Linked DNA regions of Oryzias latipes. The protein of the gene in region 1 interacts with the protein of each later gene in a biochemical or structural test. Links are inferred from orthologs where the notes say so. Each region holds a gene or a part of one and is shown in the gene's direction. Other genes may lie near its edges.

The links.
Region 2: the proteins of gtf2b (region 1) and nr2f1 form a complex in vitro, tested with the Homo sapiens proteins (2 studies listed by BioGRID and IntAct). The link is inferred for Oryzias latipes from reciprocal best matches to the Homo sapiens genes GTF2B and NR2F1.
Region 3: the proteins of gtf2b (region 1) and gtf2e1 form a complex in vitro, tested with the Homo sapiens proteins (2 studies listed by BioGRID). The link is inferred for Oryzias latipes from reciprocal best matches to the Homo sapiens genes GTF2B and GTF2E1.

Annotation. Positions count from the first base shown.
Region 1 is NC_019875.2:5,823,442-5,835,067, reverse strand, and holds the start of gtf2b (transcription initiation factor IIB), read left to right. Parts: upstream 1-6,306; 5' UTR 6,307-6,385; coding exon 6,386-6,402; intron 6,403-7,049; coding exon 7,050-7,162; intron 7,163-8,879; coding exon 8,880-9,013; intron 9,014-10,112; coding exon 10,113-10,259; intron 10,260-10,573; coding exon 10,574-10,703; intron 10,704-11,133; coding exon 11,134-11,415; intron 11,416-11,589; coding exon 11,590-11,626. UniProt on the Homo sapiens protein: General transcription factor that plays a role in transcription initiation by RNA polymerase II (Pol II). Involved in the pre-initiation complex (PIC) formation and Pol II recruitment at promoter DNA.
Region 2 is NC_019867.2:15,614,553-15,626,107, forward strand, and holds the start of nr2f1 (COUP transcription factor 1), read left to right. Parts: upstream 1-3,882; 5' UTR 3,883-4,832; coding exon 4,833-5,265; intron 5,266-6,541; coding exon 6,542-7,069; intron 7,070-10,735; coding exon 10,736-11,010; 3' UTR 11,011-11,555. UniProt on the Homo sapiens protein: Coup (chicken ovalbumin upstream promoter) transcription factor binds to the ovalbumin promoter and, in conjunction with another protein (S300-II) stimulates initiation of transcription. Binds to both direct repeats and palindromes of the 5'-AGGTCA-3' motif.
Region 3 is NC_019879.2:29,662,381-29,672,032, reverse strand, and holds the end of gtf2e1 (general transcription factor IIE subunit 1), read left to right. Parts: intron 1-127; 5' UTR 128-141; coding exon 142-431; intron 432-507; coding exon 508-665; intron 666-3,340; coding exon 3,341-3,536; intron 3,537-3,625; coding exon 3,626-3,864; intron 3,865-5,436; coding exon 5,437-5,879; 3' UTR 5,880-6,472; downstream 6,473-9,652.

The DNA of each region.
Region 1 (11,626 bases):
CTGATATTTTTTCTTTATTTCTAGTTAAAAACTGACCAATCAGATTCCCTAAAGATATGACATCCGTTACATGGAAACCCCCATAACACATAGAAAATTCTGACAGGTTGAGTCCAGAATCTGTGGTGGATGGTGAACCCAGGAAGAGAGGAATCACCAGCTTCCACTGTGGAAGCAGTGGGACTCCATGTCAGGATGCCGTCAGACAAACCATTGCGCTCGGGCCCGGTACAGTCAGGGCAGCTGTGAGCAGTAGGGACGCCACAATTCTGGATCAAAAATCGAGCCATATGTTACACGGTTTAATGGAATCGTAGGTAAAGTGAACGGTTGCATCACTACTGAACACCAGCATGTTTACGGTGAGAGTGTCACACAATCACTGTGCCAAATGTAAGAAGGATTGTGTATTACTGCATTCTTTACATTACGCCAGGCTTAGGATGAGCCAACTCAAAGGTGTTACGTTCTTATTGGCAAATTTAAAAACAGTTGTTTCTGAATGTTTTTGTTTGTTGTTGTTAAGTAAACCTCAAACACACATGGAACCAAAAGGTGGCTTTGGTTGACCCAATTATGGAGGTTTGAACTGAAAGAGAATTGTTGGAGACCCCAATGGTTCTTAAAGAGGACCAGTTGGGGGAGAAATGTCGCACAAATGTTGCACAAAAGAAAAAAGAGCTTTTCCTCCCTTCACCCTGAGTAAGCTTTGGTAAAATGACAAGAGGAACATTGAGGATTATAATCCTCGTTTGGGCCGACAGACCCTGCTGGAGCCTAACCGGATCAGGCCCCTAAAAGCGCCGTGTTCTCTCTGCTGAGGCCTCATCAGGCTGTAAATGTGTAACTGAGAAAACTGCTGACTTTCACCTGGCGGAGGTCTCACTTTCTGCCACATTTAAACCTCAGACGCTTCATTTACTAGAGCACAACAAGTCCGCACCGAGTCTGGACATGCTGCTCCGGTTACAGCGAACAGAGCGAAGACTTTCGTGGGTTTCTTCTCCTGACACTGCAGGCGTGAGGCACACATTTCATTCACAGAGCCCTGAAAGCTGTGTGAGAGCCTTTGTTTGGACTGCAGCATTATGGGATGCATGAAACATGAGCCATTCAGGGGATTGGAATGTTTTTAAAAAAATAGAGCCGAAGTTTCATAAAAACACGTGAACGAGTCAAACCCCAAGAGTTTACAGACGTGAATGGACAACCAGAGACTTGAGTGTCTAACTGAAGGTTTGTAGGTCTTAGTTTCCAACCTGCGCCGCCTGTCCTAGAATAAACCAAAGACCTTTGGTGGGGGACAGCAGACGCAGCGCCTCCCTGTGTTCATCCGCTGCAGCTGCTCGACAAAAACACGCACTTTACCGAAAGGCTTGTGTCGCCTTTAACCTCAACGGTTAAGAAAAGCTTCACGTTAGCGGGGGCGGGGTCACCTGGGGGGGGGGGGGGGGGCGGAGTCTCAGCCTGCTTTGAAAAGTTGTAAGTTGACGCGCAGTGATGCTCCCACGTGACCGCGGAGTTACGAAAAAAAACCTGAAATGAATTAACCGATAGAATCAAGTGAGGCTAAATCAGAGGAAAACGGCCGTGGTGGTTAAACTTACGTTATAAACAAAACACAACGAGGTCTTCAAAAGAGGAACTAAAAGGATTTTCGTTCATCATGTAATGCTTTTTTTCAGTTTGTGGGTCAGGTGACATACAGACATGGATGAGAGAATCAGCAAAGAGAAAACTGTTTACCCGGTACAACAGCATTGATCCGGCGTTACCTCCTTCACTTAGCGGGAGAAAGAAGTGCTTTGACCTCATCTGTAATGACTAATCTATACATTTCCAGGAGGGGAGCATGACCCCGTGTCCTCACCGTCACAGTAGGGTTATCTCGGTGCAGGTGCTGTCCTCTTCCCGCCACATGCCACTTTCTTTCTCAGCCGCTCATCAGGTGCGTCTTCAACCTCATTTGTCGGCGCCTTTGAAACTGGAGGAGCTCAGTTTGGAGACGCGCGCGCGCCTGCGTGTGGGAGGGGGGCGCTCGTGGTCGCGGGGCTTTCCGAACGGTTACCCCCATACCTCAGTGCGCGCGTGGTGCCGTTTTTCCAGGTAGACTTCCATCCTGAGGAGTGTTGGGGAGGGCAGACAGAACCAACATGGACCCCGCAGTCTGCGCTGGTGGAGTCCAGCACAGCGCCTCTCATTGGACGAGGACGGAGGAGCCACTTCCTGTAGACGCCCGCCTGCACTTTTATCTGCCGCTGCATTCACGTTCGGCTTGGAAAAACGGATACTTTTGAAATTAACATTCAACTATCAAACCCCGCAAAGGCGCGGAAACAACAACATTCTGATTATTAATCTGAATACAGTAAATGTATTGTCAACTAGACGGGGAAAAAAGTGATGTTTCCTCCAAAACGGAATAATGTTAGGATAGTCCCACAAAGGATTTTGCTTCTTGGCCAAGATCAGGCTAGAAATAGAAACAAAAACAGGACTGTGAAGTAACCCCCCTGGTTAATTGACCGTCTTCTCTATCTGTATACATTTAATCTGTATGTATACAATAAATATCTTCTGAAAATAATCTGTTTTTAAGGACGAGTTAACAGCCGCAAATTTAGTAGTAGTAGCTTCAGTAGTGCAGTTACAATAGTTACTATTTTAAAGCAAAAGGAAATGTGTTCACATAGAACTAAACAAAACAGAGTCAAATTTCCATCTTGGTGTCGTATTTCCAACAGTCCTTTAATGCAGCACAATCTTGTGAGACTTGGTAATAATTTAGCTGACTCATGAGGACTTGTGTGTTTCTGTCAGTCTCTCCTTGTGTCTAACTGTGTCTGAAGATAACCGCCCAGCTCTTCCTGGACCTGCCCGATGCTGCACTGCTGGGTGGAGGGAGGAAGTGTCAGTTGCAGTCGATCCGTACAGGTTTCAACCGGTCCTGACCTGCTGGCTGCTGCCAGCCTGTTACCACTCAGACTGTTCTGCACGGTGACTGATGGAGAAGAGAAAATGACCAAAGTGGGGGATAAACCATCTGAAATTAACCACCAGGATCACGGCAGACTAATAAACAGATTATTCATTTTTTTCTCTCTAGTTTCATCTGCATTGCAGAAACTACATTGTGTGAGTGAGACACAAGAATGTTTACTCACGGCTGGGTGTCATCTTCTTCTATGTTATCCTCCAAAACGTGCTTTCAGGCAAGAACGTATTGAACTAAAAACTCCACATGAAAACGGACCGTCTCATTTGTGCCAAATAGTTAATCTTAGACAGAAACGAATGTAATGGAGATGTTTTGATTCATTATTAAGTGGTTTTTAGCTTTTTTGTGTGGTGCAATGGCATGCTAGTGGTTGAAGAAGAAGAGGTGCATGTGAGGTATGTGGTTTAATGGTTAATCACTGTGGTTTTCCTGTCTGGGTTGGCCTTTAAATGAAAGCTGCTGAAATGGTCCTGGCAACCAGTTTACCGAGTTATCCCATGAGACGCTGTTGTAAATTACCCAGCACAGACCTCTGCTTTCAGCTCGCATCGGCTCTGCGCTGAAGGGCTGCATGTGTGGTCTTGTGGTAGGCTGAAGGAATGCAGTAGCTGCATGAGGTTTGCTTAATTAAAACATCAGGAACTGCAAAAATGTTAATATTTGAGTTTAGGTGGCATGCTGCCTTCAGGAAATGATTCATATTTCTGAAGGAAGATAAGAAAACCTGAAGAAAAAATTGTTTTCCTTAAGTCTGCCTGTTGCACATGCTCGCCATCATGTCATGACTTGTTTCTGAGACAAGCACAGATGCGGCAGGAACTCTTTTGACTTTTTGACTGACTCAGAATTCCTAGAATGCATGTCTTTTGAATCCATCAAAACAAATCGAGTCATAAATGGCTGCTCAGCTCTGCTGATGCCGTGTGTGACAATAGACTGTGACTCGCTGTCGTGTCACTGATCCAAGCTGACATCAGCGGTGAGCCTTTAAATTCAATTGACTGCTAAATGATGGCGGCGAGCAGCTCTGTCCGTTAAAAGGAGAACACAGTCTTCTTCTGAAAACAGTGAGCTTGGGAAACTGGATAGCCAAATAAGTTTCTTTCGGTTATAGCTCCATCTGCTGTTGCACATGGCGGTGTTCAAGTAATGCTGACCTTTTGCTTTAGGCTGCTCTGAAGGAGGAAAACCAGGGGGGTATTCCAGAAAGCAGGTTATGCTAGTTACCACAGTAAGTTTGAGGCTAAGGAAGTGGATAACCTCAGCTTTCGGTTCCAAAAACAGTGGTATGTTTCAGGGTATGCTTAGTTCATAGAAACTCATGCTCTGAACATAACCTGGTCTGGAGCAGGTTTAGTTGAAGGTTAGTTTGTTTTCAGAGAGGTGAAGCAGCATGGCGTGTCCATTTGAAGATGATTTAGTGGATGAAGAAGCTCAGATAATAATTTTTCCACCGTGAGAGGGTGATAAGACCACATATGGATGTACACATCTATTATCAGTGCAACTAAAATGGCAGAAATATCGTACCTATCCATCCGTACAGTTTAGATCCAGATTCCAGCTCAGACCAGGTGTGAACGAAATTGTTTTATTATTATCATTGTTTAAGTGTATTTGGTTAAATGTATGTTTAAATGTTAACTCAGAGCTACCTTTTTACCTTTTTAGAAAACAGTTCTGTGTTTGTTCATCTGTTTCTCATCCCCAGCTAGGATGAGGGGCTTTAACGACACACTGTCCTGAGCTGATAAAGAATACTGTTTGAACTTAGAATCCACCCAAATGGGTCATTATACGACACCCCCTAATGAACTTTTCTATTTGTCTGGAAATTGTTACCTCCTACTTGAATTCTTAATAAAAGGAGCACGGGGAGAAGCAGTCATTTGAGAAGAGAAATGTGGTGGACATTTTCTGCCACATTTGCTTTTCTCCCTCGTGGATGACAAACTTGATTATTGTTGTGGTCTGTTTTTTCTAATTGTGTTTTTCTTTAATGTCTAGATGCATTTATCTGACACCAGGAAAACAAAGATGTTCATGGATCTATTTGTCTGCAGGTGATGATCAGAATGGAGCAGGTAGCTTCTGGTTTGCCGTTGCAAGTTCTACGTCACTGCTACAAGCTTTTTCAAATCCTAACTGTACTCTTTGTTAAGAACACCCAGAAACAATCAGCCACCTATTTTGGAACTGTAATATTACAAAAAAGTTTTGGAAAGAATGTACTTGTTTTATAAATCACAAATTTGACTCACAATTTCAGATGAAATTTGAATGAATCATATTTGGCCTACATAAAAAGAACATAAAATCAAACATAAAATTGAAAATTAATCCAATCATAATATAAAGTAAGTTAGACATCAACAAATCAAAATTTCACAACTTTTCCCCCCTGTATTTATTAAAGAATTAGAATCGTATTTATGTACTATTTCTAATAGCACAAACAAAAAAGGGAATACGTATTTATGAAAATTCTCTGTCTTTGAACATATTCAATGTATTGTGATGTGTTTTACAATATTTCTATTGTAATATATGCCATCCCCTGGCAGTCCCGTTTTTATGACTATTGTTCTTGTCATACATACTTGTTCTATGTGTTGTGAACAGTAATGCATTAAAAAAAACATTTTTTGGGGCAGAAATGCAGTTTTAAGATTAATTTTCTATATATGTCATCATATCATATCATGAGAAAAATGCCATTAGAACATATTAAAAACACCAAAAACGTGATTTCCATTAAAGTGGGTCTTTAACTTGTTTTTATTGGTTAAATGTTTTAGTAATGCTAGCTTAAAAATAAATGAAAGAAGCTTAAGAAAAAAAACAATGTAAAGAGAAAAAAAGACACTGAAGCACACACTCAGGTTTGAACAGTTCCCCAACCCAAATTTAACCATGACTAGTTTACCCCGACCTTAACTAAGCTCATTTACACATCAACCCTTTGGCCCGCGAGGGGCCAAAGCCTGCCCCTCATGGTCGATCAGGTGTCTGAAGGTCTCTGTGGGGTCAACATAAACCTGAAAAGCTGAAACACAACAACACACAACGTGTGTATTCATCATGAACACACGAATGAAGACTAAGAAGATCACCCAACTTCAACTTTCTAGTAGACCTGTCAAATGTGTAAACGGCAACAACATTGCAGGCAATGTAGTCTGATGATTTATTCGCTTTGGGTCTGAAATGTAAAAGAAAGGGACAGGTTTATTTTTTTCACCAAAGGTGACACAATATTTTTGACTTTATTTATTTATTTATTTTTAAACTTATTTGGCCTTCTTGACTTCCCGTAGTTGGTCACGTGATCAGAATAGTCTATAAGTACAAGTGCTGCATCCGTCCGGGAGAAGAGAGCGGAGGAAGATGGCTTCGACAAGTCGGTGAGTTGCAATGGCTGCTAACCGTTCAAAGCCCGGTTTTCTTTGTTAATGTGACTCAAAGTGTCTCGTGGTAAAAAACCACCGCGTCTTGTGATTGACCGTGGGACTCTGGCGGTAGAAAGTGTCGGGCTCCATTTTTCTTCTCGGGAATGTTCAGTCTTTTGTACTCCGTCCGTGACAGCCAGCTAGCTCGCGGGCAGCTTCACGGAAGAGGCTGCCCGTTAGAACTCCCGGTTTTGTCGTTTCTCTGACATCTGAACGTTGGCCTGAAGGAGTTCTGGATCAGCCTGAAACTCCGTGGAAACGCGCACGTCCGCACATTTACCGGGACTTAAACTCGTTAATATTTCTTTATGCTAGGAAAGTTGAAGCGATCGTGAAATGGGTATTTCCCATAATTCAACGCGTTTTGTTTTGGTGGGTAGATGACACAAGCAACTACAGAACCAGGCGACTGATAAATACTGGAAACATAGGCTGTTTGTAGACTTAATAAATATTTGTTAATCCTATCAAGGTGTCTGGCTTCTTCCTTGGAGAATGTAGCGGAACATCGACTTTAAGGGATTTTCTTTGTTCGTCATTTATTTGTTGTTTTTGTGCTCCTTTTTAACATTTTTGTTATCATTTGTGTTTTGCTTGTGCAGCGGAGATGCTCTCAGTTTACCCAGAGTGACATGTCCCAACCATCCTGATGCCATCCTGGTGGAGGACTACCGCGCTGGGGACATGATTTGCCCCGAGTGTGGGCTTGTTGTAGGTGAGTACTTCAATGATAAACCTGTACTTGGCCTACATTTGTTGGAGGTAAAATGGGTCCATAGCTGGAGAGGTTTGTCTTGATGCTGAAGCTGTAAAGAGTTCTGTGTGACCTGGCCTCCACAGTCAGACCTTCACATGCGCTTTGAACAAACCTAAAAGCTTTTTTTTCCCTGCTACCGTAATTTCCGGATTATAAACCGCCACTTTTGTCACACGCTTTCAACCCTGCGGTTTATTCAATGATGCGGCTGATTTATGCATTTTTTCTAACGGCTGCTAGGGGCGCTCGAGCAGAAAAGGAAAGAGTGAGACGGGGGATAAGGTATATGTGTCGAGGAAGACACAAGTTTAATGTAAATTCCCGCTTTCTGAATGAATAGCACGAACAGACCCTCATCATGGAAAATGCAAGAAGAAATGCATATGAGGCAGCTTTCAAGTTAAAAGCAATGGTTAACAGCAGTGTGAAAAAATCCACCATCACCAACGGGTTTGGAAAAGCCGGTCTGCTGCGTGACAGAGAGGACAGTGCAGACTCAGGAGAGAATTTACCTCAGGATGAGAGTGACACTGACAGCGACAACGAAGGAGAGACACAGAGCGTGTGTGGTGAAGAATATCTGACGCTTTTCCAATCCGACACTGAGGAGGAAGACTTCCATGGTTTCAGTGCACAGGAAGTTCGTGCTGCGCAGAGGCGAGCGCCAATAAGTTACTGCTGCTCTCAGTGACTTCTACCACGATGTTTTTTTTAACCAGCCCTGTTAGTGCTGTTACTACCGTATTGCTGCCGTGTTACTGCCGTGTCACAGGCACTGTTTGGAATAGAGCTGTGACGGTGTGGGATTTTTGATCACCGCGGTGATGAAGAAGCAGGAGAAGTCACGGTGTCGCGGTTTCCAAATAAATACCGGTATAAGTAATAATTACAACGCATTATTCTTTAACAAATAACAGTAACAACTAAATCTACCTAATGAACTAACTACATAGGTGTTGTAGAATGAGTATGTGTTTGTGTCAGCACACTGGGTGTGTAGGGGGAAGGAGCGTGAGTGAATGAGAATGCTCCCTCTTCCTATCCCGCTGCACGAGCTCCCCCCTCTTTCTCACACACGCCGGCGAGCGGTTTCAGCACGTACACATCCATTCTACAACACATGGTTCAATGTGGGCACATGCGGGCGGCTTAGACAGGTGCGGCTTATGTATGTACAAAATGGTTTATCCTTTAAAAATGTAATGGGTGTGGCTTATAATCAGGTGCGCTCTATAGTCCGGAAATTATGGTAATTATGTCACCTGTAAAGGAAGTCCATTTTATTCTCATCACGGATCTATTTTCAGCCATTTTTCCTCCAAAGAAAGATCAAAGCTCCAGGACTTTGATCTGGAACGACCACAGTTTTCATTTTCTTTATCTGATTGTCTTATTTTAATGTTGATGATGAATCTGCATCATTTACACACAACAGTACAAAGCAGTACGTCTGCAGTGTGTGCACAGATCAGTGTAGCACAATTTATCCCTCAGAAACGTCAAAGAAGAACCAAAAGCACATCAACAAATATCCACCAGAACCGTCAAAGTACGGTTTAAACAGAAAAACGAGATTGTTGCTCAAATCAATTACAAGTAATTCAGCGTGTAATCAAAGTTTCCACTCAGCCTTTCTAACATCACGGTTCTGGTTCTTCACGCCTTCTGTCCTTAGGTGACCGGGTCATTGATGTGGGTTCAGAGTGGAGAACCTTCTCCAACGAGAAAGCTCAGAAAGATCCATCCAGAGTGGGAGACGCCCAGAACCCTCTGCTCAACGGAGGAGATCTAACTACCATGATCGGCAAGGTGGGACAGCAGACCTGTGGTTAGCTGTAGATAGGGGTCCAACAGATCACGGATGATTCCTACGGATCTCTAGCCACGGTTCAGCACACATGTCTACTGCAGATAACCCCCCCACCTCCTCGTGTGCACCTCGCACGACTTTTGTGATCCATTGCACCCCTAGTGGTAGAGTGACAGCTGTGGTTCAGGTGATGGATGGAGGGGTGGATGGTTGGATGGATGGATAGATGGATGGATGGAGGGGTGGATGGATGGATAGATGGATGGAGGGATGGATGGATGGAGGGGTGGATGGATGGATAGATGGATGGATGGTTGGATGGTTGGATGGATGGATGGATGGATGGATGGATGGATGTAGGGGTGGATGGATGGATAGATGGATGGATGGTTGGATGGATGGATGGATGGATGGATGGATGGTTGGATGGATGGATGGAGGGGTGGATGGATGGATAGATGGATGGATGGATGGATGGATGGAGGGGTGGATGGATGGATAGATGGATGGATGGTTGGATGGATGGATGGATGGATGGATAGATGGATGGATGGATAGATGGATGGATGGATGGATGGATGGAGGGGTGGATGGTTGGATGATGTAGGGATGGATGGATGGATGGATGGATGGATGGATAGATGGATGGATGGTTGGATGATGGATGGATGGATGGATGGATGGAGGGGTGGATGGTTGGATGATGTAGGGATGGATGGATGGATGGATGGATGGATGGATAGATGGATGGATGGTTGGATGATGGATGGATGGATGGATGGATGGAGGGGTGGGTGGATGGATGGATAGATGGATGGATGGATGGAGGGAGGGATGGATGGATGGATGGTTGGATGATGTAGGGATGGATGGATGGATGGGTGGATGGTTGGATGATGTAGGGATGGATGGAGGGAGGGAGGGAGGGTTGGATGGCACGTATCCCCTCTTGTGGGTGAATGTCTTTCATCTGTGCGTTCACCATGAAGTTGATGGTTTTCTGCTTTTCATGTTGCTGCTGGTTTTCATGTTGCAGTAAAGTTACTTTCTTGTGAAACACGGCTCATCCACATGTGGGTTCTGGGTTCTTCTCTCCAGGGAACCGGGTCTGCAAGCTTTGATGAATTTGGGAACTCCAAGTATCAGAACCGGCGGACCATGAGCAGCTCGGACCGGGCCATGCTCCACGCCTTCAAAGAGATCAGCACCATGGCCGACCGCATCAACCTGCCCCGGAACATCGTAGTGAGTGGAACATCTGAGCACATCAGCTGACCGTTTAAGTCCCGCCCTCTGAGCGCGGTCGTACTTCGGTTCCTGTCCCTCCTCTTTGCTGCTGACGCCGTGTTAGATTTCATATTCCTTCATGTCTAAAAACCGCATGAAGCCTAAGAGCAGGTCAACGATAAAGGTTTTCATGTAAGCTGAACACCATTGAGGTTCAGGTCCTAGGAAGAAGGAGGCCTCTTCAGAGGCCTGAAACATTCTGCATGGGTCCTGACTGCTCATGCCTCCATGACACTTCCAGTCTGAGCTTCACAAACGTCTTTGCTCTGCAGGACAGAACCAACAACTTATTCAAGCAAGTTTATGAGCAGAAGAGCCTGAAGGGCCGAGCCAACGACGCCATCGCATCCGCCTGCCTTTACATCGCCTGCAGACAGGAAGGAGTCCCCAGAACCTTCAAAGGTCAGCCAGTTTATAATAATAATAATCCGATACCGACAACAGATATTCCCCCTGCAGCTGATGGGTGATGTCTGCAGATACTCAAGTGTCTACAACAACGCAGAGGTTGCTGGACAATCACTTTGACTTTTTTAACATACAGCACAGAATCTCATAGGAACATGGTTCACTTTAAAACCGTCATGTAAATATATTTGACAGCATTCAGAGCATTTATTGAATATTGGACATAACTGTAACCATAAACTCCCCCTCAACTAGGTCTATCTATTAAGAACACATATCTCTATCAAAAAGAACATTTGCCTGAAAACAGTCAGAAAAATATCGGTAGATTTTTTAATATCAGACCGATACCGTTGAACTGCAAATGTTGGCCATCCCTAGATTTCTTCAACACGTCCAAGCTAACGGCAGCGTTTCTCTGCAGAGATCTGTGCCGTCTCCAGAATCTCCAAGAAAGAGATTGGTCGGTGCTTCAAGCTGATCCTGAAGGCTCTGGAGACCAGCGTGGACCTCATCACCACGGGGGACTTCATGTCCCGGTTCTGCTCCAACCTGGGCCTGCCCAAGCAGGTTCAAATGGCGGCCACCTTTATTGCGAGGAAGGCCGTGGAGCTGGACTTGGTTCCGGGTCGAAGCCCCATCTCCGTGGCGGCAGCAGCCATCTACATGGCGTCTCAGGCGTCTGCAGAGAAGAAGACTCAGAAAGGTGAGACCACACGACAGAAATGACCCAAATGTCAATGTTACCAATGTTAGAGACCGGTGAGAAGGTCCGTCTGCACCTAAACGCAACATGAGGCTGGGGACCGTTTGGGTCCATCCTCTCCTGTTGGAGCAGATGTTCTGGATAGTTTACAGACCGGGTTCTTGTGTTCTACAGAAATTGGAGACATTGCTGGAGTGGCGGACGTCACCAT
Region 2 (11,555 bases), on another chromosome or scaffold:
CAAACGGGTCAGAGGCCAAGAAGGGCTTTTTGTGACGTTGAACCTTAATTGCTAAAGACAATTTCCCCTTGTTGCCAAACATAGGCAAATTTGACGAAAAAACCCCATCGGTGTTCAGTTGTAAAACCTCATAAATGGATGTTTGACTTTTAATTGAATTCAAATATCAAACTGCTATTGTTTTTAAATTCTGAAAGTCTGGTGTCATGGTCATTTAGATAATGTGCATTCACGCAGTGCGTGGATCCGTCTATGTGTTTACTTCCGTTGGTTTCAGCATCATTCCCCTTCAAACAAACTTTTTGCACGCCATAGAAATGATAGGGGATGTTTCACAACCACGTCTCCTGCTCGATTTGACGATCAATGAGTGCGTTAGTCAAACATGCAGCCGTGAGCTATAATGCCTATACTTACACCTTCAAAGGTCCCATCAGTGGACTCGCTTTAGATTGTTCTTTTGCGCTAACTTTGCAGGCAGGTGTTAAAGCTGCAGGCGGCGGCGTCCAGAAACACAGACCTCCAGTCTGCACGGGAGGCTTTTGGAGCAGAGGCCTCTGCAAAGGGGAAATCAGCCTCTCAGCAATGTCTTATTGACAGCATTCTTTGCTTACACAGAATCAATATTAGAAAGCCTCGTTAATACATTTTCTACATACGCTGGGTGTTTTTAAATACCCTCTAAACACCCTTAAATGTGTTCTTCTTTTTTCTTCTCCTCGTTTTATGTTGGGGGGCTTGCACTTCGTGACCTCAGCGTTTTCCCAAATGATTGTTGGTTCAGCTTCATTTTCTGAGTCTGTGTGCGCATCATATCAATTTGGGACAGCTGGAGTGTTTTGGTGTTTTGGGTGAAAATGTATTTAAGCGTGCACATCCTATGTGTATAGAAATTATTTTGTAAATTTGTGAGCAGTTTTGTATCTTTTGTTTTGTTTTTTTACGTTAATACCGTTAATTAGAGGCTGCAAAGCGGTCCATTAGTCTGAATTTAAGTGTGCGTAAAACGGCTGTGCTCTGCGTAAATGCATCCATCACAGGAATGACATGTCAAACAATGGGATTATTTCCTTATATATATGTGTTTTCTCTAAGTACACATATTATTATGAGACGTGCATAAATGTGTAGTCATAGAAAAATCTGAATATCAGGTCATAAAATACACTTGCTTGTGTAAAATATTAAACGATTATAAACTTTGTTGTAACATTTGGAGATGAAAAATAAATGATCGTGTGTTATTTAACTGATGTTTTCTTTCTGTCGAAATAGTTTGACCTGTTTTGCAGTCCCTTCACATCAATAGTGTCGCTTTGATCAATCATAAGGCATTGCCATTTTACATTTCCTTTCGGCAGCCTTTTCTGACACATGACGGTCTCCTCCGATGCGCAGAGATTTTCCGCGGATCAATAATATTCGCTCTCTGACTGGCGAAAGCGGAAGACAAAAAAACAACGTTTAAAGATGGCCAATGTCTGCTCCCCTTGATCACTCCTTTATACCCCGTGACAGTATCGCTGAAACAAACAGACGGCTATCGATCCTTTCATTATGTGTTTAACCAACAGACACGCTCGCATGTGAGGTGCGCGGAACGCTCGGGGAAAGAACTCCCGTGTCCCGTGGTACCAACAAGCCTCTAATAGCATTACTACTTTCAGTACAAATCGGCGGGGAGCGCTGGAAACGGGTTTCAGTAATCTGCGTGAATGGGGAATAAAGATGCGCCATAAACGTGTGGAAGAGAAGTTTGAAAAATAACTTGACTTGCCTTATGGATGATTTTTTTTTAAACAGCTGCAAAGCTGACAACCTCCGCCGCTGCTGCTGCTGCTCCTTCCTCCTTTAATATCCTGCCGTCCACTTTCACTCGCTGTTTCCCAACATTTTTTGTTGGAGCGTCTACTCTGCTCCCATGCGCTATCCCTCTCACTCTCCTCTCTTCTCTCCTGTGGACCCTCTTTCCAGTCTGCAGAGTTAAATCTTAATGATACACTAAGATGGAGGGGAAAAATCTTTGTCTGATTTAATCTTATTGGTTTCACCTTTTCAAAGAGCTGGGGACATGGCCGAGGAGTTTCAGTGGAGTGTCCGACGCACGGACGGGAGAGAGAGTTCTCTTGTTGAATACTTAAAAACAAACCATCCCTCCTGTGCGTTTTCAAAAGGGGCACTTGCATATTAACGCTCCTTTATATCTTAATGTAAATCCACGTAGTAAGAGATGGTTAACACAAAAATACTTTTTTTTGTAAAAACTACCATTGCATTTATTATTTATTATTAACACATTCAATACTTCTGTTAGATTTTACGCACGTCTTTTTGACTTTTTAATGCATGTAATTTAAGACAAAAGTATTTTCGTCTCTTTTATCCTCTTTTTTTAATTTTTTTTGACAGTGTTTTTATTTCAGTAAGATAAATACTTTGTTTTTAAAAGTTTTAGGAAACCATAATGCAAAAACGACCACTTTGAGGCTCACATTTAAAAATGTAGCTTCTTTTAAAAAATGATTTTTTTTTTTTGGAAAAGCTTGTTTTAATATCAGATTTTAAGCTTTTAAAAATGCATGTCGGAAAACTTGCATATGAAGTTGTAATTGAACATTGTACGCTAGATGGCAGCGCGATCCAGACATTTTTGAGTAGGAGAGGTATAGTCAGCTTGCAGAAACCCTGATACAAAAAGGCGGAATCCCCATGCAAATCCCCCGTAACTTCATTTCATTTTGAATTACTGTCAATATTAGGACACAACGTGCCACCGTCTGCAGTCTATAGGACTTTAGAAATAATCCAAAACAGCTTATCTTGTTAGAGATGTTCGGCTCATTTGCAAGACCCGCCGTTTGTACAGTACAAATGTGCATTATTTTTTCCTGTGATATTTTTTTTCTTTATGTTATGTTAAATCTAAACTAAATGGTAAGTTTTAATGAGCAGAACTGTGCCATTCACAGACGGCGGTGTGTACCGCAATGCGCACGCCAAGGACAAAACAGCGTGTGAACAGAAGAAATCAATTTGAACCAAAAAGAAGATGTCACTTATTCCTAAAATAAAGACAACAGTTCCACACAGACTGGTCCGAAACTTTGGGCAATATCTGAGGCAGAGTGGTGTTTCGCTGCTTTTCGTTTATTTGTCAAGCGTAAAAGCTTTGTCCTCTCTTGCCTTTACCCCGCTTTTTTCTTCTTTTTTCGCTATTCTATCCAGGGTTTCTTCCTCTTTTTGGTGACAATAGACGGCCCATACTAATCAGGTTTCAAAGTAAATAGCAGCGCGGGGCGAGCTCAATGTAAATTGCGCCTGTCAGAGCACCCCCCATACACACACACACACTCACACCGCCGCCCCCCTTCCCTTCCCTCCCTCTCTCCATTCCCCCCAGCCCCTCCAGCCGTAGATGGCAGCGCTGTAAAAAATATCCACGCCTCAAACGGCGCTCAGTGCAGCGCCGAGGCTTGGTATCACAAGGCGGACACAAGCTTCCATTTCGACGCGTAATGCCTTTCCTGGATCCCGACACCAGTCGATCCATCATGCGCCTTTACGCAGCCTATGTATTTCCAACAGAAATCCCCCCACCCCCCCATCTCTGGACTCCGATATATTGGCGTAAAAAACATTCTCCAACTGTAAACACAAGGAGGTGTATTTCAAACCCAGATGCACGGTTCCTGCTGTATTTTACGAATAAAATCACATTTTCACATCCGAACACGAGACTGGATGACTTCTGAGATGGTCACTTTTTGCAGTGGATAAGCGGAGGGGGATTCTAACCAATAGAGAAACAGAGAGGGCTTGGCTATAACCTCAGCCTCCCATTTTCTCTCTCCCTCTGTCCCCCCTCTCCTCCTCTCCTCCTCCTCTATGCAGGGCTCTGGCCAGTCAGTCGCCTTTGATTATCAGTCTCCAGCAGCCCCTCTCTTGGCTCCTTGACATGAGCACCATATAAGGCGCAGCGATCTCCATAGAAACGTGTCAGTTTCAATAGTAGTGTCAAAGTTCACTATATACAGACATTCGCGCAGATCCCCCGTTTCGGAAACATTGCTCTGCTGGTCCTCCCGTTTAAGCGCATTCATTTTTTGGGTCTCTCCTTCGTCTTGCATATTCTATTAGTATTTGGTGTTTTTGCTCTTCTTTTTTTACATTTTCTTCTTCGTATCCATTCCTCCTGCTGGAGAGGAGTGAAACTATACATGGGCACTTCTTTCGGCGACGCGATTTTCTTCCGCTGCTGGGCGAGATGACGAGCCTTATTTAAGAATATATAGATGTAAAAAAAAATCCAGCTCTTCAGTTTTTTCCTGCCCTCCTGCGCGACGAAGACGGGAGTGTAAAGGAGCAAGAGGAGGAAGAGGAGAAAGGAATTTATCTCCGCTGCACTTTGGATCGCATTTCTTTCCAACAAGGTTTTCTTTTTTTTTCTTCTTTTTTTTCTTCTTCTTCTTTTTTGTACTTGTTCCTGCGTCTACGTGAATCCTGCCTTTCCTCTGTGGCTATTCAGCATCTAACTGCAATTTGTTACGTCTGGACTCTGGTTTTCCTACAAGATTAGGGATTCCTGAATGGCTGACTGCAATTTACCTTGGAACTGGCCTCCCGACACTTGCAAATCCTGATCGGGTGCCTCTCCAGTCGCCCTCCTGCTTTTGAATGTATTGATCGCCGTTTTTTTTAACCCCATATGAGATTGCGTGCACCGATTTGACTTTGCACTGCCCCGTCTTTTGAGATCTCTTTTTTTTTCTCCCCTCTGCGCTATATCTACATCAGCGACCATTTCGCTTTATAGCACTTTCCGTGGCCGAGATATGGCAATGGTAGTTAGCGTCTGGCGAGATCCGCAGGAAGACGTGGCCGGAGGACCTCCGAACGGCCCCAACCCAGCAGCGCAGCCGGCGAGGGAGCAGCAGCAAGCGGCGTCGGCGGCGCCGCACACTCCGCAGACCCCCAGCCAGCCGGGACCCCCGTCCACGCCGGGGACCGCCGGGGACAAGGGGAGTCAGAATTCTGGACAAAGTCAGCAGCATATTGAATGTGTGGTTTGCGGAGACAAATCGAGCGGCAAACACTACGGCCAGTTCACCTGCGAGGGATGCAAAAGTTTCTTCAAGAGGAGTGTACGGAGGAACTTAACCTACTCATGTCGTGCCAATAGGAACTGTCCCATTGACCAGCACCACCGAAATCAGTGCCAATACTGCCGGCTGAAGAAGTGTTTAAAAGTGGGAATGCGGCGGGAAGGTGAATATTTAAGCTTACTCTTTAGTGCAGACACGCAGGGCTGCCATGTTGCATTAAGGTCAGAGGCGCTCTCTAGCCGGGCGTGCACTGCAGACTCCTTTTTGATCCATGTTTACATGAAGGCTTTTTATTTTATTTTTGGTGGTAGTGGAGGGGGGGGGGGTATAGTGTGCAGCAGCAGCAGTGATGCTCATGGAGGCAGGCCGTCTGAACAAAGCGTCTCGTCCAGCTGACCTTTGTTTTTAAATGTTCTAGTTTAGCCTGTTTGATATGCAGGTTATGGCGCAGAATCGTGAATTATCCTTACATGTGAACATGTCGGAGAGTGTGTGTGCGCGTGAGTGTTTGTAAGAGGTGGGCTTGTGTGCGTGTAGTTGTGTGTGTGTGTGTGTGTGTGTGTGTGTGTGTGTGTGTGTGTGTGTGTGTGTGTGAGAGAGAGAGAAAGAGAGGGAGAGAGAGAGGCTAATGGTCCCATCCCTAGCAGTCCCTTAAGCACAGGCTTACACATTTCTAAATGTACAGCAGGATTTGGATCCTGGCTGCGTCATCGTGGAAAACGGCCATTCGCCAAATCCACGTCTCCTCCTGCTCAGACACACCGAATCCTGCCGCTGAACTTGCCCATGGCTCATTGTTGTGCTCACTGCTGCATTAACAGGCCGTACAACTTTCATAGCCACGTCAAGTGTTTGATTCCAATTGATGCAGACATCCCTCAGTTAAGTCTATTATTTGCAGAGAACACTATAATCCCGCGTATAATATGCGCTGAATCACCTTCATATTTTCTTTTTGAATCCAAAAAGGACAAAAAAAACGCGGATTGGATTGCTTTGATTCGCAGCTGACCTTTTGATCTGAACAAAATGTGCATTTGTGGCTGCATTTAATGCCAATTATCAATCGCATTTGTGGCATTTATGGACACAGTTTGTAATAATTCTAATAAGCACAATTGCGCGTAAATTTAGAGCAGGAACACAAGCTCGACTGCTGACCTATTGTAATATGGATGATGAGGAATTTGTTAGATGAAAGCTGTTTTGCTCTCAGACTTGGGGTAAAGATAAAAGGGCACGTTGTGTGTTTCTAGACTGTCGATAGAATAATTTGCTAAGTTCTATCATCAGTTGTTTATTTCACTGCATGCCAGTTTGGTAAAAAAGGGGGGAGGGGGACATACTAGCTGGAGCTTGCTTTTCGGCTGTAATCCTCGTGGATAATGTTTACCAGTCCTGGATGCACATTTCCTCTTTATTTCCTTTCTTTTTGTCAGCGGTTCAGCGAGGACGAATGCCTCCAACCCAACCCAACCCAGGCCAGTACGCGTTGACAAACGGAGACCCTCTGAATGGCCACTGCTATCTGTCCGGATACATCTCGTTATTGCTGCGGGCTGAGCCTTACCCGACGTCCCGGTACGGGAGCCAGTGCATGCAGCCCAACAATATCATGGGCATCGAGAACATCTGCGAGCTGGCGGCTCGTTTGCTCTTCAGCGCCGTGGAGTGGGCGAGAAACATCCCTTTCTTTCCCGACCTGCAGATCACCGACCAGGTGTCCCTTCTCAGGCTGACATGGAGCGAGTTGTTTGTTCTTAACGCGGCCCAATGCTCCATGCCTCTGCACGTGGCCCCTCTGCTCGCTGCAGCGGGCCTCCACGCTTCCCCGATGTCCGCGGACCGCGTCGTGGCTTTCATGGATCACATCCGGATCTTCCAGGAACAAGTGGAGAAGCTTAAGACCCTGCACGTGGACTCGGCAGAGTACAGCTGCCTCAAGGCGATCGTGCTTTTCACATCAGGTGGGTGTCCAGAAATGTCAACACAGGATCATGTCTGTGATCTCAAACTGGGGGCCTGTTCTGGTCACGGCAGCGATGGGCGCAGTGGCGTCAGGAGTGTTGCTGTCAGATGTGGACTGGTCACGAGATGCTGGTGTGCCCAAAGAAATGCTGTCTTGTCAACTTCCTGCCACATATCCACCTCAACGCACCCCCTGTCACTTGGACCCGCATGTAAACAGATCAAGTGCCCCTCCCTGAAACCCGAAATTAGTCACAATTGTGTAGCAAATACTGTTAATATTAAATAAGCAAGTTTTTTGAAGGTATCTGAACTACATTTTAAATAGGCAATAGTTGGACTCCCAACGTTTTGGAACAGGTGTCATAGTGGCGCTCAGAGATGAAATAGTCAGTCTGGGGGTGATTTATGACAGCTGATGCGTTTATGAATGTCGCAGCATGCCTTTATCCCTGTTTTTCCAGTACAAACATATGTCTTCGGGGGCAGGAAATAATCCCTAACAGACTAAGATCAAAAAAGATCATGCAAGTCTGATGCGTCAGGGCTTCGCCTCTGTAGGACACAGAGCCGCACTTAATAACATAAGTTATTAGTAGATTAATCTTAGCCGACCTATTAATTTTCTTAGTTACTGAGGATAGTTACTTGTGTCAGGCGGCTTTGAAAAGTAATCAGCTGAAGTTTTTAAAACTAACCTACATTGATGATAGCTTAATTGATGGCTGACATGGTGAATAGTCCTAAATCTTGTGCGTAATTCAGATGTGGTTTTGGAGTTCTATGTGGAGCAGTCTGGGCTTTTTTTTAATTATTATTTTTACAGGTCAAGTTAAGTTTGTTGTGAAAGGAAAAAAGGAAGGGCAACACAGTTCTCAGTGGCCAAAACGGTATCTAAACTTTCTAAAACCTTTTGTCAGCAGTTGCTTATTATTTATCTGGCCAACACCAAAAAAAAAAAAGAGAAAGAAAGACAGAAATCCCTGCATGGCACGATTGATGACGAAATGGTCAGTTTTATTGTAGTTTGAAATTCTGGTAAAATTTGGAAATATTTAAAATATTTCAAACAATTGTAAATAAATTGTTTTGAATTTAATCACAGAATCTAATATCTGTTTATGTTTTTTAAAAATATTTAATCAATTTTGTTCCCTAAACTTAAACAAAGAAACTTGATATTTTCTATAAAACGTATTATATTATATTATATTATATTATATTATATTATATTATATTATATTATATTATATTATATTATATTATATTATATATTTATTTTTAAATTAAATATATTGTGTATACTTTAATACCAACATATGTTTGGATCAGGTAGTTAAATTCTTCAAAAATATATTTTTTTATTTGTACAACTTTTAAAAAGCTGAAATGGTATATATAAACATTCAAAGTGTGTTCCCGTTCAGTTTTCTATGTTGTTTTTTTGTTTCAAATTTTTTTTATTTATTTTTATTTTTTACTTGAGTAATCATGCCTATATTTTTTACGCACAAAATCATGGCAAAACAGTAAACGTTTTACGGATTTTGGGCAATTCGGTACCAAAAAGTCTGTGGGAGGTGCAGTCAATTTATTTATTTATTTATTTATTTATTTATTTATTTATTTATTGCATAATCAAAATGCGTTACTTCATCCATTTCCCACCGCGGTTAACTGGTGTGTTCCTGTGCGCCCTCGCCCCTCCTCTGTAACCGTGTGCCGAGACTCGTTTGCACGTCTCTTTCTGTGGCGCGGAGACTCGGTTCTTCACTCCAGTTGACTCAGAGGCCAAAAAATAAATAAATAAATAAAATTAAAAGAAACTAAAGAAGAAGAAGAAATCCATGTGCACATGAGCATCCCCCATGTTTTCTAACAGATCATTTAGTTAGCGTGATGGGCTACAACTGGTGTCGGCTGTAGAGAAAGTCACGTGGCTCTTCGGCAGGATCAGTGTGGATTGTTTGCCTTTAATAACAGCAGCCTTGTCAGCATTTGATGCATAAACAATGGTAGCCAGGGTAAAGTATTTTCCCCGCAGATCTGGATCATTGTCTTACATTAACTCGTTATCCATACATGCAGTAACTTGCAAAAGAAGATGTGCTGCTTTTGGATGTGGAAGATTGCCTTTCTTTCTGCCCATTGAGCTTGTGGGGCGCAGGGAGGCCTGATGGAGAGCTGTGGGGTGTCTTTGGGCTGCTTTATCCTGATGCGTTCACATGCTGCCCATAATCGAAGATACTTTTCTTTTGTCGCCAAAATCCCGCGCTATTTTAGCCTCGCCGAAAATTCCAAATGTAATTATTAGAAGCTCCATCGATTGGTTGTAGATGTTAAAAGACGCACTCAGCGTTAATCCAGGGGGATTTGCATACAGGGGGCTCTGACCGGCCGCGCTGAGGTCACATTAAATCACCCCGAGATCTCAGCGTTGCCCCCGGGTTCAAAAGGTTATTGTGTCTGGCTATAGTGAGTTATAGCGCAGAGAAATTAAGAAAGGGCTTAAAAGCCCGTGTCTGCTGCTCAGTGCATAGTGCTGGAAAACCAAAACGCTCTTTCATGTGCAGTTCCTACAAAAGCAGGCTCTTCTGAGGACAGCTCGGTGTTCATGTGGGACCGTGTATGCCAGCGGTTACGCAGCGTGCGTTTCCACCTCTTTATAATAAGCAGAAGAAGACATATGAGTGCTCGGGTGAAAAACAGATCGTTTTACAACAGGAAGGACGTGTTAGATTCTTAAAAACCTTGCAGGCGTTTGCCCTGTTACGCAGCAGAAGTCACCAGTCTGCTTCGGAGCGCGCCTGCCCTGTTTCCTGACATTTCATGTCGCTCCAATGCGACTATTGACTTCCTCAACTCTAATAAATTCGATTGCTTTCAGAAGTCTGTCCTATAGGCTACGTGGAATAAAAACAGGCCAAGAGTGGTCTATGGAGAGAAGAGCGGCGAAATCACTTAACAGCTTACTGCGGAGTAATTAGGTCACATTACATCCAGAGTAATTTCAGATTCATCAGTGCCGTTTATGTTGCCTTATACCTTTAATCCCTGGAGTGCAGACATAAAGAACCGCGGCCACCGAAGCTGCAGCCTGCCTTCCTCTTATGGCCCACCGCCCCTCACTCTGCACTTACAAAAACTCTGACATTTTAGCTCTATATTTCCCCCTGATTGCTGTGAGCACAGACGGCGATGCCCTCCACTGAGTTGTGCGTCCCCTACCCGGCAGCAGGCCCCTTGTTTATTCTGTATGACAGTCCCCTGCGCTCAGTGTGATGTCGCATGTTTGGGCAGCTTGTTTGTTCATTCCACATTGTCAATAACGCGTAATGGCGGGGGCTGAATGATAACCACTAAGCTTTTGCGCGAAGGAAATTGGGTATCAGATTGAATGGGGTGGAAATTGGGGGAGCAAAATAAGAAAAAGAAAACTTCTGTGTGTCTTTTTTTAAGTTAGATCACCTCAGATGCACTTTCTCTGCAAGCCTGGTGGCCTGACATAGTTAGAAATATATTTATATATATATTTCCCTCTGTTGTTCTTCTACTTGTTTCAGGAAATGCATACATTAGAATTACGTTTGGTCACTTTTCCTGAACGCGCTGGCCTCAGAGAACTCAATAGCCTGACCACAATGTTTTTGCTGTGTGTCCCTCAGACGCCTGCGGCCTGTCGGACGCTGCTCACATCGAAAGTCTACAAGAGAAATCCCAGTGCGCCCTGGAGGAATACGTGAGGAGCCAATACCCGAACCAACCCAGCCGCTTTGGCAAGCTCCTCCTGCGGCTGCCCTCTCTGCGCACCGTCTCCTCCTCGGTAATCGAGCAGCTGTTCTTCGTCCGCTTGGTAGGTAAAACTCCTATTGAAACCCTCATCAGGGATATGCTATTATCCGGGAGCAGCTTCAACTGGCCTTACATGTCCATCCAATGATCCTCATAAGAAAGAGGAAAAAAGGACCAAAATACAGCACCTCCCCCACCACCACCACCACCCACCCAATCCTTCTTCAAGAAGACTATATATAGGACGTTTTCTGACAAACTTGGAAGACATTACTTTTTTTCTGTCTTCTGGAACTGTGATGGAATACATTATGTACAGAAAATATCGGAACTGGACTTTACACCTGTGTAAATCCACCCTCATCTTCAAGAACAATACTCTTCATTTTGTAAAATACTAGTCTTTATTTTCCTTTTTTTGTAAAAAAAATACAAATAAAATGAAAAACATCATATGCGCAGTAAGAAAAAAAAAGAATCAAGACTTAGCGGGAAAATAATGTTTCCAAGCAATTATAAGAATTGTCCTGTGTCTATGTACCTCTCTGTTTTGTATTTTTTCTGGTTCTAAACCAGGGTTTCTGTGATTCTATACTAATAATTTTTGATATAACCTTTTGCTTCTTATAATGAGTGCGATATATGTTGTCGAAGCTATGTTCTCCAAGAATTAAAATTGAAGTGAGAATCTAA
Region 3 (9,652 bases), on another chromosome or scaffold:
CGTTTCTAGACACATTTGTCAGTGGATCTTAATTCATATCCCCTATTTTATTTATGTGTTTTATTATGTATACGTTGACCCGTGGGATGAATGCTGCAGGTGTTTTCAACCTCTTCTCTCTTCTTAGCTGGAGTTCTGAAGATGATCGAACCCGACGTCCTGACGGAGGTCCCAGCGGCGCTGAAGCGCTTGGCCAAACAGGTCGTTCGCGGCTTTTACGAGGTGGAGCACGCCCTGGCGCTGGACGTGCTCATCCGTAATCCCTGCGTGCGCGAGGAGGACATGCAGGAGCTGCTCAAGTTCGACCGCAAACAGCTGCGCTCTGTGCTCAACACCCTGAAGGCAGACAAGTTCGTCAAGTGCCGCATGAGAGTGGAGACGGCTCCTGATGGCAAGACGACGAGGCACAACTACTATTTCATCAACTACAGGTTCGAGCCGCTTTGGCCGTGGTTTCACTTCCTCAGACGATGGACCTGAAAAGTCTCAAATCTTTGTTTTCTTCAGAGTTTTGGTCAACGTAGTCAAATACAAACTGGACCACATGCGACGGCGCATTGAGACGGATGAACGAGATTCCACCAACCGGGCCTCCTTCAGGTGTCCCTGCTGCTCCTCCGCCTTCACCGACCTGGAAGCCAACCTGCTCTTTGACATGATGACAGGTATGATGACACCCGGTGTAGGTACCACAACCATTCGGCCTGGAACTTCCGATCGGGGTCTTGGGACTAGTGCTGTCGTCACATTATGTAAAAGGCTGTCCGTTGGTCCGATGGCGTGTCATATAGTGAAAAATAAATAAATAAATAAATAAATATAGTGATTGGTCTGAACAAATTACGATACTACCAAAGAAGAAGAAATTAAGAAGTCTGTTGTAAACAAACAGAGCTCTGTCTTCTAAACGTGTTGTTATGATTATTATTGAATGCATGTTCGCTTATAGTTTTTTTTAATCCGTTGGACCAGTGCTTTATTGGCAGAACGGACCGGGAAGAACATTTAGCCGTGCTGACAACATTTTCAGCCACGGCTGAACTTTAACTGGAATTGCAAGCGAATTGTGGCAAAATCTCTTTATGAAAATTACAAAGAATAATGTCAGACAAAATTTATGAGGGGAAATAACTTTAGGTTACAACAGTGTGTTTCAACCAGTGTGTGTGTGGTGGGAAATTGTCCTCATTAATTGATGTAAAAACATTTCCCTCCAGGATTTCAGCTCTGTGTTCATCCAAACAGACCCTGATAAAACACTGAGAAGTTAGGAATATAAAAGATCGTAAAATACTTTTTTCTTTGTGTTTATTTGATTCTATTAAAGACACTTTGATAAGAATGACGGTACCGCCATTTAGCCGTGGCTACAGCTGTTTTAGGAAAAGTCCCGCCCCTTTAACTGTCTCCACCAATCATTCTTGGAGGCTTAATCACACGTCATCAGTCTGACCAATCAGAAGTGGTTAAAGTCTTCACTTCCTTGTTCTGATTCTGCTCATAAAGTCTCTCAGTTCCAACAGAAATACCAGCTAAAGCTCGTCCTTAGCTGGGTTAGTTTTTCCACAGAATCCGGTGTCAGACCGTGGAAAAAGTGAACAAAACAAAGAAGCTCAGAGACGAGAGTCTGTCTGCCATCACTACATCTCCCATGATGCATTGGGTCAAAGTGACAGCGTCTCAGCGCACAATGAGTTTTCTTTGTTAAACGTCTTGAAACCACAACGAACACAAACAGTTTTTAAATCTTCTGACTTAACTTTTATTATATCTTTTAGAAAAAAACAGCATGTGAGATTGCAGAGGGGCTGTAGAACAATACAGACTATGAGTTTTTCCATTTTAAATATTTTTTTGGATGCTGGTGTGCCGCAGGATTTTTGTCAAGGTTAAAGTGTGCCGTGGCACAAAAAAGGTTGAAAAACACTGGGTTAGAAAAGGGAACGTGAAATTAAAATTTGTAGAGCCCGAGCAGATCTGGACGTACGTAGTTTGTCCAAGTGGGGTTACTGTAGTGCAGTGCTTCTCAATTATTTTTTGCCAGGCCCCCCCTAGGAAAAGAAAATGTTTCGCGCCCCCCCTGACCCCCCCCCATAACCCCCCCCCACACACACACACACAGACACACTCGCGCGGTGACAATACATCAGGTCAGTATCTATAAAATTTGTATACCTAAAATTGTATCTTTTAACACTAACAAAAGAAAAAAGCAAAATAAATCCACTTTCAACAAATATTAACTTTATTTAGCCACAGAAACCCTGTTCTAGTCTAAAACAGAAAAGAAGCTGAAAGTACCTGAAATAAAAAAAATCTGTCATTCCTTATTTAAACTAGAAACATTTTGACCAACTGAACCATTTGATGCTGAAAAAAATAATTCAATCAATAAATAATATTAAATCTAAATTGATCTGAAACATTAACACAGCAGCACCAATATATTTAACGTTTTTAGTCTGAAGAAATAGGTAAAAACGTGCTGATTTTTTTTTTCTAAATGACGGATTGTTTATTTCTGATCTCATAAAAGTGCAGCTGTTTTCCTGCATTACCTGCTGTCTTTATGTCTGTCTGACACCAACTAAACCACAGGCAGACAAAGAAAACATGGATGGAAAATAAAGACACGTCATCAAAATGTCTACAATAGTTCATAAAGAATGACATTGTTAGCATGAGCTTAGGAATCTAAGGGCAGCGGTGATCTTGGGCAACAGGCAGCGGTAGCAGTGGTCCGCGTGCCCCGATTCCCCTGGCAGACAGGGCCCACACCACCCCTCCCCTTTCGTTCTCACTCGCGCAGCCGCGGACAGACAGAACAGACAATAGGAACCGAATAGTGGACCAGATTATTTTCCAAGCACTGAGCCGCTGTCACCGCTGCCCCCACGTTAAATTTGCGCACCGGACAAACCTGTGCCTAAAACCGCCACCACCGCGCGCCCCCCCTGGCATCGCTTCGTGCCCCCCCCTGGGGGCGCGCCCCACTATTTGAGAAGCACTGCTGTAGTGTGACGTTATCTTCAGTCGAAAGGATCCCGAACGGAAGTTCCAGGCCGAACGGTTATGGTACCTACACCGGAAAATGACTGAAATAAAATGAAAATGACTCATTCTTTACATAACAAACCAGATTTTTTTATAGAGTTAAAGCTGCTTTAGGATTTCTGCTAAACATCAGGTGAAGTGGACAAAAATCAGGCCATAGAAGGTGATAGACATGGAGAATAAAATAATAAATTGAGCTAAAAGATGTTGATTTATCTCCAAGTTAGTTTGGTTTAAAGGTTCCTCATTCTCACAGCTTCAAGGTGAGTTCTTGTTCCACCTTCAGGGACGTTTCGCTGCACCTTCTGCCAGACTGAGGTGGAGGAGGACAGTTCTGTCTGTCCCGACGGCAGGACTCTGGTGGCTCGATTCAACGAGCAGATCGAGCCCATCTACGCGCTTCTACGTGAAACCGAAGACGTCAACTTGTCCCATGACCTGCTGGAGCCGGAGCCCGCAGAGATCCCTGCTCTCAAACAGAGGTCTGCATCAGTCTGTAATTCTCCACTTATCGGGGGTCATCCCTGCAGGAAGTTTGGAGGACGAGAAATTAACCGAACCTTCTCTGTAGTCGGGAACGCGCAGCGGCGGCGGCGGCAAACGCCGCCGGTGGACAGCACCGGGAGGCTTGGTCCACCAAGGGAGCGTCCTATTCAGACCTGTACACCCAGAACGTGGTCATCAGCATGGACGAGCAGGACGCGCAGCAGAAGGCGATCGGCGAGGCCAAGGCCCTGAAGGAGCGGCCGGTGTGGTTGACCCAGAGCACCGTCCAGGGGGCTTACAGCGACGCAGACGCCCTCAAGAGCGGTACCGTTTCCCTTACCAATTCATATAATATGTGCCACAATGGTCATCTCAGACCTTTTAGGTTCTTCTGTTATCAGACACGGTTGTGTTTGTTCACGTACCTGACGTGTTTCGACGTCCGTCGAAACACGTCAGGTACGTGAACAAACACAACCGTGTCTGATAACAGAGGAACCTAAGAAGTCTGTTAACAATACAGGCACTGTGTGTAAGAGCAGGAGCAGAGACGAGGAACACGGTCAGGTACAGCAAAATGATCAAACAGAACCAAAAAGGTTTGATTATAATTCAGTTACAAACCAGTTCATGTTTCATGATCAGTTCCTCTCGCTGGGTCTCCGTCAGAAAACCCGTCTGCTCTTTCAAATGCCGCCTTTCGTCTGGTTAAATGAAAGTGGGCGGCGGTGGCGGAGCTTAGCAAGAACTGAAATCGACGGCCTTGACCTCCAGTTGGCTCCAGAGGACAGTCGGCATTAAATCAAAGGTCGGGGAGGCAGAGCAGACTGTCAAAGGTCAGACGAGGCTCTCAGGCTCCGTCCAGGAAGCTGCCAAAGGCCATGTGACACTCAGAGCTGGTCAGACCTTCCAGAACCATAATTGTTCAATTAAAACAATCACAGACTTGATTAGTGGGAGGCAGAGCACGGGCGCCTCATTAATAAAACCCATTTTTGTGGAAATGAAGGAATCATTCCTTCCAAACATCCTGTCTGTTTGCTTTGTTTGCGTCTGTTGTTGCCCTTCAGGCAGAAATCCTCAACCTGCAAATGATTAGAAGATTCTTTATTTTATTGATATCAAATAGTTCACTATTAGTAATAAATTGTCTTTATATTTGAAAAAACAAGAACAATTCTGTTGCCCCAGTGCCGTTTTTCAGGTTCAGGCTGTGAACACATTGTAGAAAAAAAAGCATTTTAAACTGAATAAAGATGTAACTTTTACTATGGAGTCATGAATTCCTCTGGTAAAAACCACAGGAAAGAGTTTTTTTTCTTTTTTATGCCGTTTTTAGCCAACAGTCTTATTGGAGGACATAGTTTCTGCAAAGTCAGTTTTGGCAGATTAACCCCAAAAGGCAATTTTATGCGTCATTTTCTTTATGCATGTCTTCTATCATCAGAAAAATGTCTAAAGAACTCGCTAGAAACATCATTTTCATCACAGTGGTCTTTATTTTAATTTTTATTATTATTATTTATTTTGAGTTATTATTTATTTTGAGCATACAGTTATCTGTATGCTGAGTATAAACCATAATAGCTTTTTTCTTTGTTCGTCTGGATCTAAATCATCATAAATTCTGGAAGGCAGAAATAATTTTCTCACTTTTTTCTCCTGATTTGATTTTTTTTAAATCTTTTGTCCAAAATGTCAGATTTAGTTTCATTTTAAACTTCAAAAAAGAAAAATTTCCTGAATTAGAACATGGAAGAGAAAAGTTCCTTTAGTGCAGCGCAGCCTGGAAGTAGACCGATCATTTCTTTAGTCAAATAAAAACCTGCAAACATTGGCATTGGCTCGGTTTCTGCAGATCCGTTTATGGGATGGATTCACGTTTTGTCCCCTCAGATGGAGCCGCTCTGCCTGGGGCTCAGGACGGAGCTGCAGCTCGCGATCAGACAGACGAAAACGAGGAGGTGATGCGCGCCCTCCTCATCCACGAGAAAAGGGCCGGCGCAGGACCAGGGGTGGGCGGAGCCGGCGCCTCCTCCAGACCTGCCGCGTCCTCCGCCCTCAACGCCAGTGACTCAGAGAGCGACACCAGTGAATCAGATGACGAGTTCCCCGCAGGTCCTCCTCCCATCGCAGCCGCACGGCGCCCAGAGGAGGACGAAGAGGACGAGGACGACTTCGAGGAGGTGGGGGACGAGCCCATGGTGATGGTGGGAGGTCGGCCGTTCTCCTACAGGGAGGTGAGCCAGAGGCCCGAGCTGGTGGAGCAGATGTCTGCGCAGGAGAAGGAGGCTTACATCGAAATGGGACAGAACCTTTTCCAGGACATGTATTTCTGAGCCCGGCTCACACCCAGTGTTCATCTGATGGCGGCGGCTGGAGGACCTGTGCACACGTGCACGTGTTTAAACTTTAGCAGAGGAAAGCTGTCATCTGTTAGGGAGGTGTCCCTCCTGCAGTATTTTATCCATCTGCAGTGTTTGGAAAGATGATGTCCTCAACACAAACATCCTGGTGGCAGATCCACCCAAAGTCTGTCTGCAGCCTTTACAGCTTCCTGTCTCCTTTTTGGGAGGAGGAAGAGGAGTTGGATTGGCTGCTGAAGGACTTCTTCAGAGTTGAGACTCCTTCAGCAGCGATGCCGCTCAAAAGACAGGATTAAAAAAAAAAGTCTAAATTAGTTCCACACAGAGTTTTATAGCAGTGATTTACAGTTAGATGCTGAGAATAAAAGTCAGTGTGGGTTCAGTATTAAGTGAAAACATGTTCAGAGTTACATCCTTTTTTTCCATTGCATTTTGTCTTCATGCTGCGTTCTTAAATTTCCTGCTAAAATGCCAAACTTGCAGTTTGTGGGAATCAAAGCAGTGGATGGCAGCGGCTAATTTCCCTTTAATACGAGTTTTTTGTCAATAAAACTTTTGTTCTGAAGCTTTGATTCATTTTTTTTCTCTGTTGCTCTGTTAAACCTGAGGAGTCCCCAAAGATGATTTTTCTACAGTTTTTGCTGTAAGAAAAACTACAAAAACGATAAAAAACCAGAACAGCCAATCAGAATTTTTCCTGAACATCTTGGGGTTTTTTTGACAAAAAGGAAAAATGTGCAGCTCAACATTTCTGCTGAAACCACACATGGAAAGCTTGTGAACAACACAAATGTTTGTTTTTTTGTGTGTGTGAATCTTTTCCCTCTGGTTCTGCTATGAATGGAAACGGTTTTCTTCCCTTAACCCTTGTGCTATCTTAGATGACCCCCCCCTTCCATTGAGGTGTTCTCCCTACCACGACAAAGGTGGATAAAGGTGGAAAGATTTCATGTAATCCATGGACACCAGTGAAGATCACAAATCATTGAAGAAAAAAGGTTCAGAGCACTGTCTAGTGGGTCTAGATGACCCAACTCCCATCGTTAAAGAGCCTAGGATAGCACAAGGGTTACACGATGCTGCTGTCTGCATCTGTGTCCAAATATAGACAAAGGTCTTTTCATGAGAAACTTTATTCAGTTTTAGCAGCCGCTGCAGGAGCTGTTACGAAGCTCCTTCTCTTTGTTTTGGGGACTTGTCTCTGTGACACCTGGTGTGTCAGAGCATGAATGAGGAAGGTGAGTTTAGGGATTATCCCTCCTCTGAAGCAAACCCCCCCCCCCGCCCCCCCCCCCCCCATGTGGCACACAGCCAATGAGATTAGACGCTGCAGGCCGCTGAAAACCTGGGTTCTGAGCTGCGCCGCCATTCTGTTTCAGTCCCGAGGAACTAAAATGAATTTCCTGTACGTCACGACAAAAGCAGAAACTGCAGTCAGGCTGTAAGAAAATAAGCAGGAGAGAAGCGTGTGACCAAACTACAATGTTTTAAGGTATAACCTACTTGGAGATTGAATTGTATATCTGGGAATTTTATATTATGGCTGGAAAGCTAAGAAAACTGAATTGGTCTATAGCTAAGTGGAATCTTTTACAAGCACCATCTCTCCTAATAAGGAGAAATCAACAAAAGGAACCAGTCAGGAAGACGGACCCCCGCTGCCACCCGAAAACAATGAAAGAACCACTCTGACCAAACTCAGGAAAATGGGGGAGATGAAAAACAGGAACATTTTCATTTGTCAAAAAAACAACGATAAATATGAAGAAAAAGTGCAACGTTGCACAACTCAAACAGTCTAAAAGAAGTCCAGGTTTAACTTTGAGATGTGTGAGGATGATGTCTGTGGGTTTGGTTCCTCTCATGTTCTGCTCTCAGGTTTGTGTTCTCCTGCCAGTCACTCCTGGTTCTAGGTCCTAAAGATCCTCAGCTGTTTGTATTTAGGTCATTAACCTGAGTGGCAGCTTTGTCACTCTTTTGTTGCTCCCTGAGCTCATCTTTAAGGTCATTTTTGAACCCTTTCAGCCTCGGCCTGCGTTTCAGGTTCTCCATCCGGAGGTTCCTGATCGTTATGACCAAATGTAAGTGTCTGTTACCTGGGGGGTGAGTGACTGTGCTTGAGCGCGATGCCGAACGGTGAGAAGGACTATTTCTGAAATGTTCTTTGTAACAGTGAAGGTCACTGTCTGTCTGAAGGGAGCCCCCAAAAAAAACAACAACAAAAAAAAAAACGATGACATAATTGCAGACAAAAATGGGGAAAAAAAAAAAAGAAATGGGTGGGAAATCGCTAATGGAGCCCCCCCCCCCAAAAAAAAGTACATATCCTCTGACGAAATCAAAAAACATGTCAGGGATATCCAAAGGAAGTTTTGAAATCATTATGGGATGGCCACAGGACCTATGGCTGGCATTATGTGACAAAATGAGAAATTTGGAAATTTTCCCGTTTTCCCTTTATTTGGGAAAAGGAAACTTTTTTTTTTTAATTATAATTTTTTTTTTGTTCGAGTTATTTTTCACCCCCCTGGAGTTTTGTTGACATAAATTTCATAGGAATTAAATAATAATATTCCACAGGACTTTTCATCCAGCATTTCCTGACTTCATTGGGGATTGGGGGGGGGGGGGATTTTGATTTGATTCATTGATTTATTTCAAGCATTGTAGTCGAAGGAATAAATAATTTACCCATATTTATCAAACTCATTACAGAAATGTTGAAATGCATAGTTTAAAAAGACAGAAAATAAAACAAAACAAAAAAGTCACTTAAATCACATTTGCTAAATGAAATACAGTGATCATTAACGTTGATTTATTGCTTGAAAAGGAGCAGAAAGAAGCGAATTTATATAATCCCACCCCTGCTCAGTTAATTTATTTTATAGTTTTACAGTTTTTGTAATCTGGTTCTGATCCAACAGATTCTTTCTTTCATGATTTCAGTAAACAGTAACAGTATCCATTATGTAATAATCATTGATTATTAGAACACATGATCACAATAAAACGGTAATCATTGCTACACATTGCAGATCAAGTAAAGAAAATCAATAGTTTATTGATTGTAATTTAAACATTTCACTAATCATTATTGCACATTACAATGTAATACTCATTGGTTGTAATTAAAAGAGCTTTGATTCTTTCAACACAATCAAGTTTACACATTTTTGGAAATAATTTGGAATCATTCAAACACCTGTTGATCCTTAACTCCTCTTATCTTCATATCCTGAAATCAGAGTTTCTTTCTACATTTTCTTAAATATTTGGATATTTGAACATTGTCTGAGCTCATTACTGAACCCGTTCCAAAGTTTAGTGCCACACACCGACACACAGAAACTTTTCTTTGTGGTTCTTATCAGTTTGATCTTGAAGTTCCTACATTTCCTCAGTTTGTTTCTTCTTCATTTTCTAAAAACTGTTTCTGGATATTGAATGGTAACAATTTCACACTGACTCTGTATACAAGTTGTTGGTGTAAAAATCCACAAGGTCAAACAGTTTTAAAAGTCTAGATTGATTAAATAAATTGTTTGTATGATCAATATTTCCGGCTTTATGTACAATTCTGACGGCTGGTTTTTGAAGTAAAAAGAGAGGATGAAGTGAACTCTTAGAATTATTCCCACAAATGTCTATACAGTAAGTGAGATATGGTAATATCAAAGAGCAGTACAACAAATATTTACTGTTGTGTTCTAATATATTTATATAATATATTATATTTAAATATA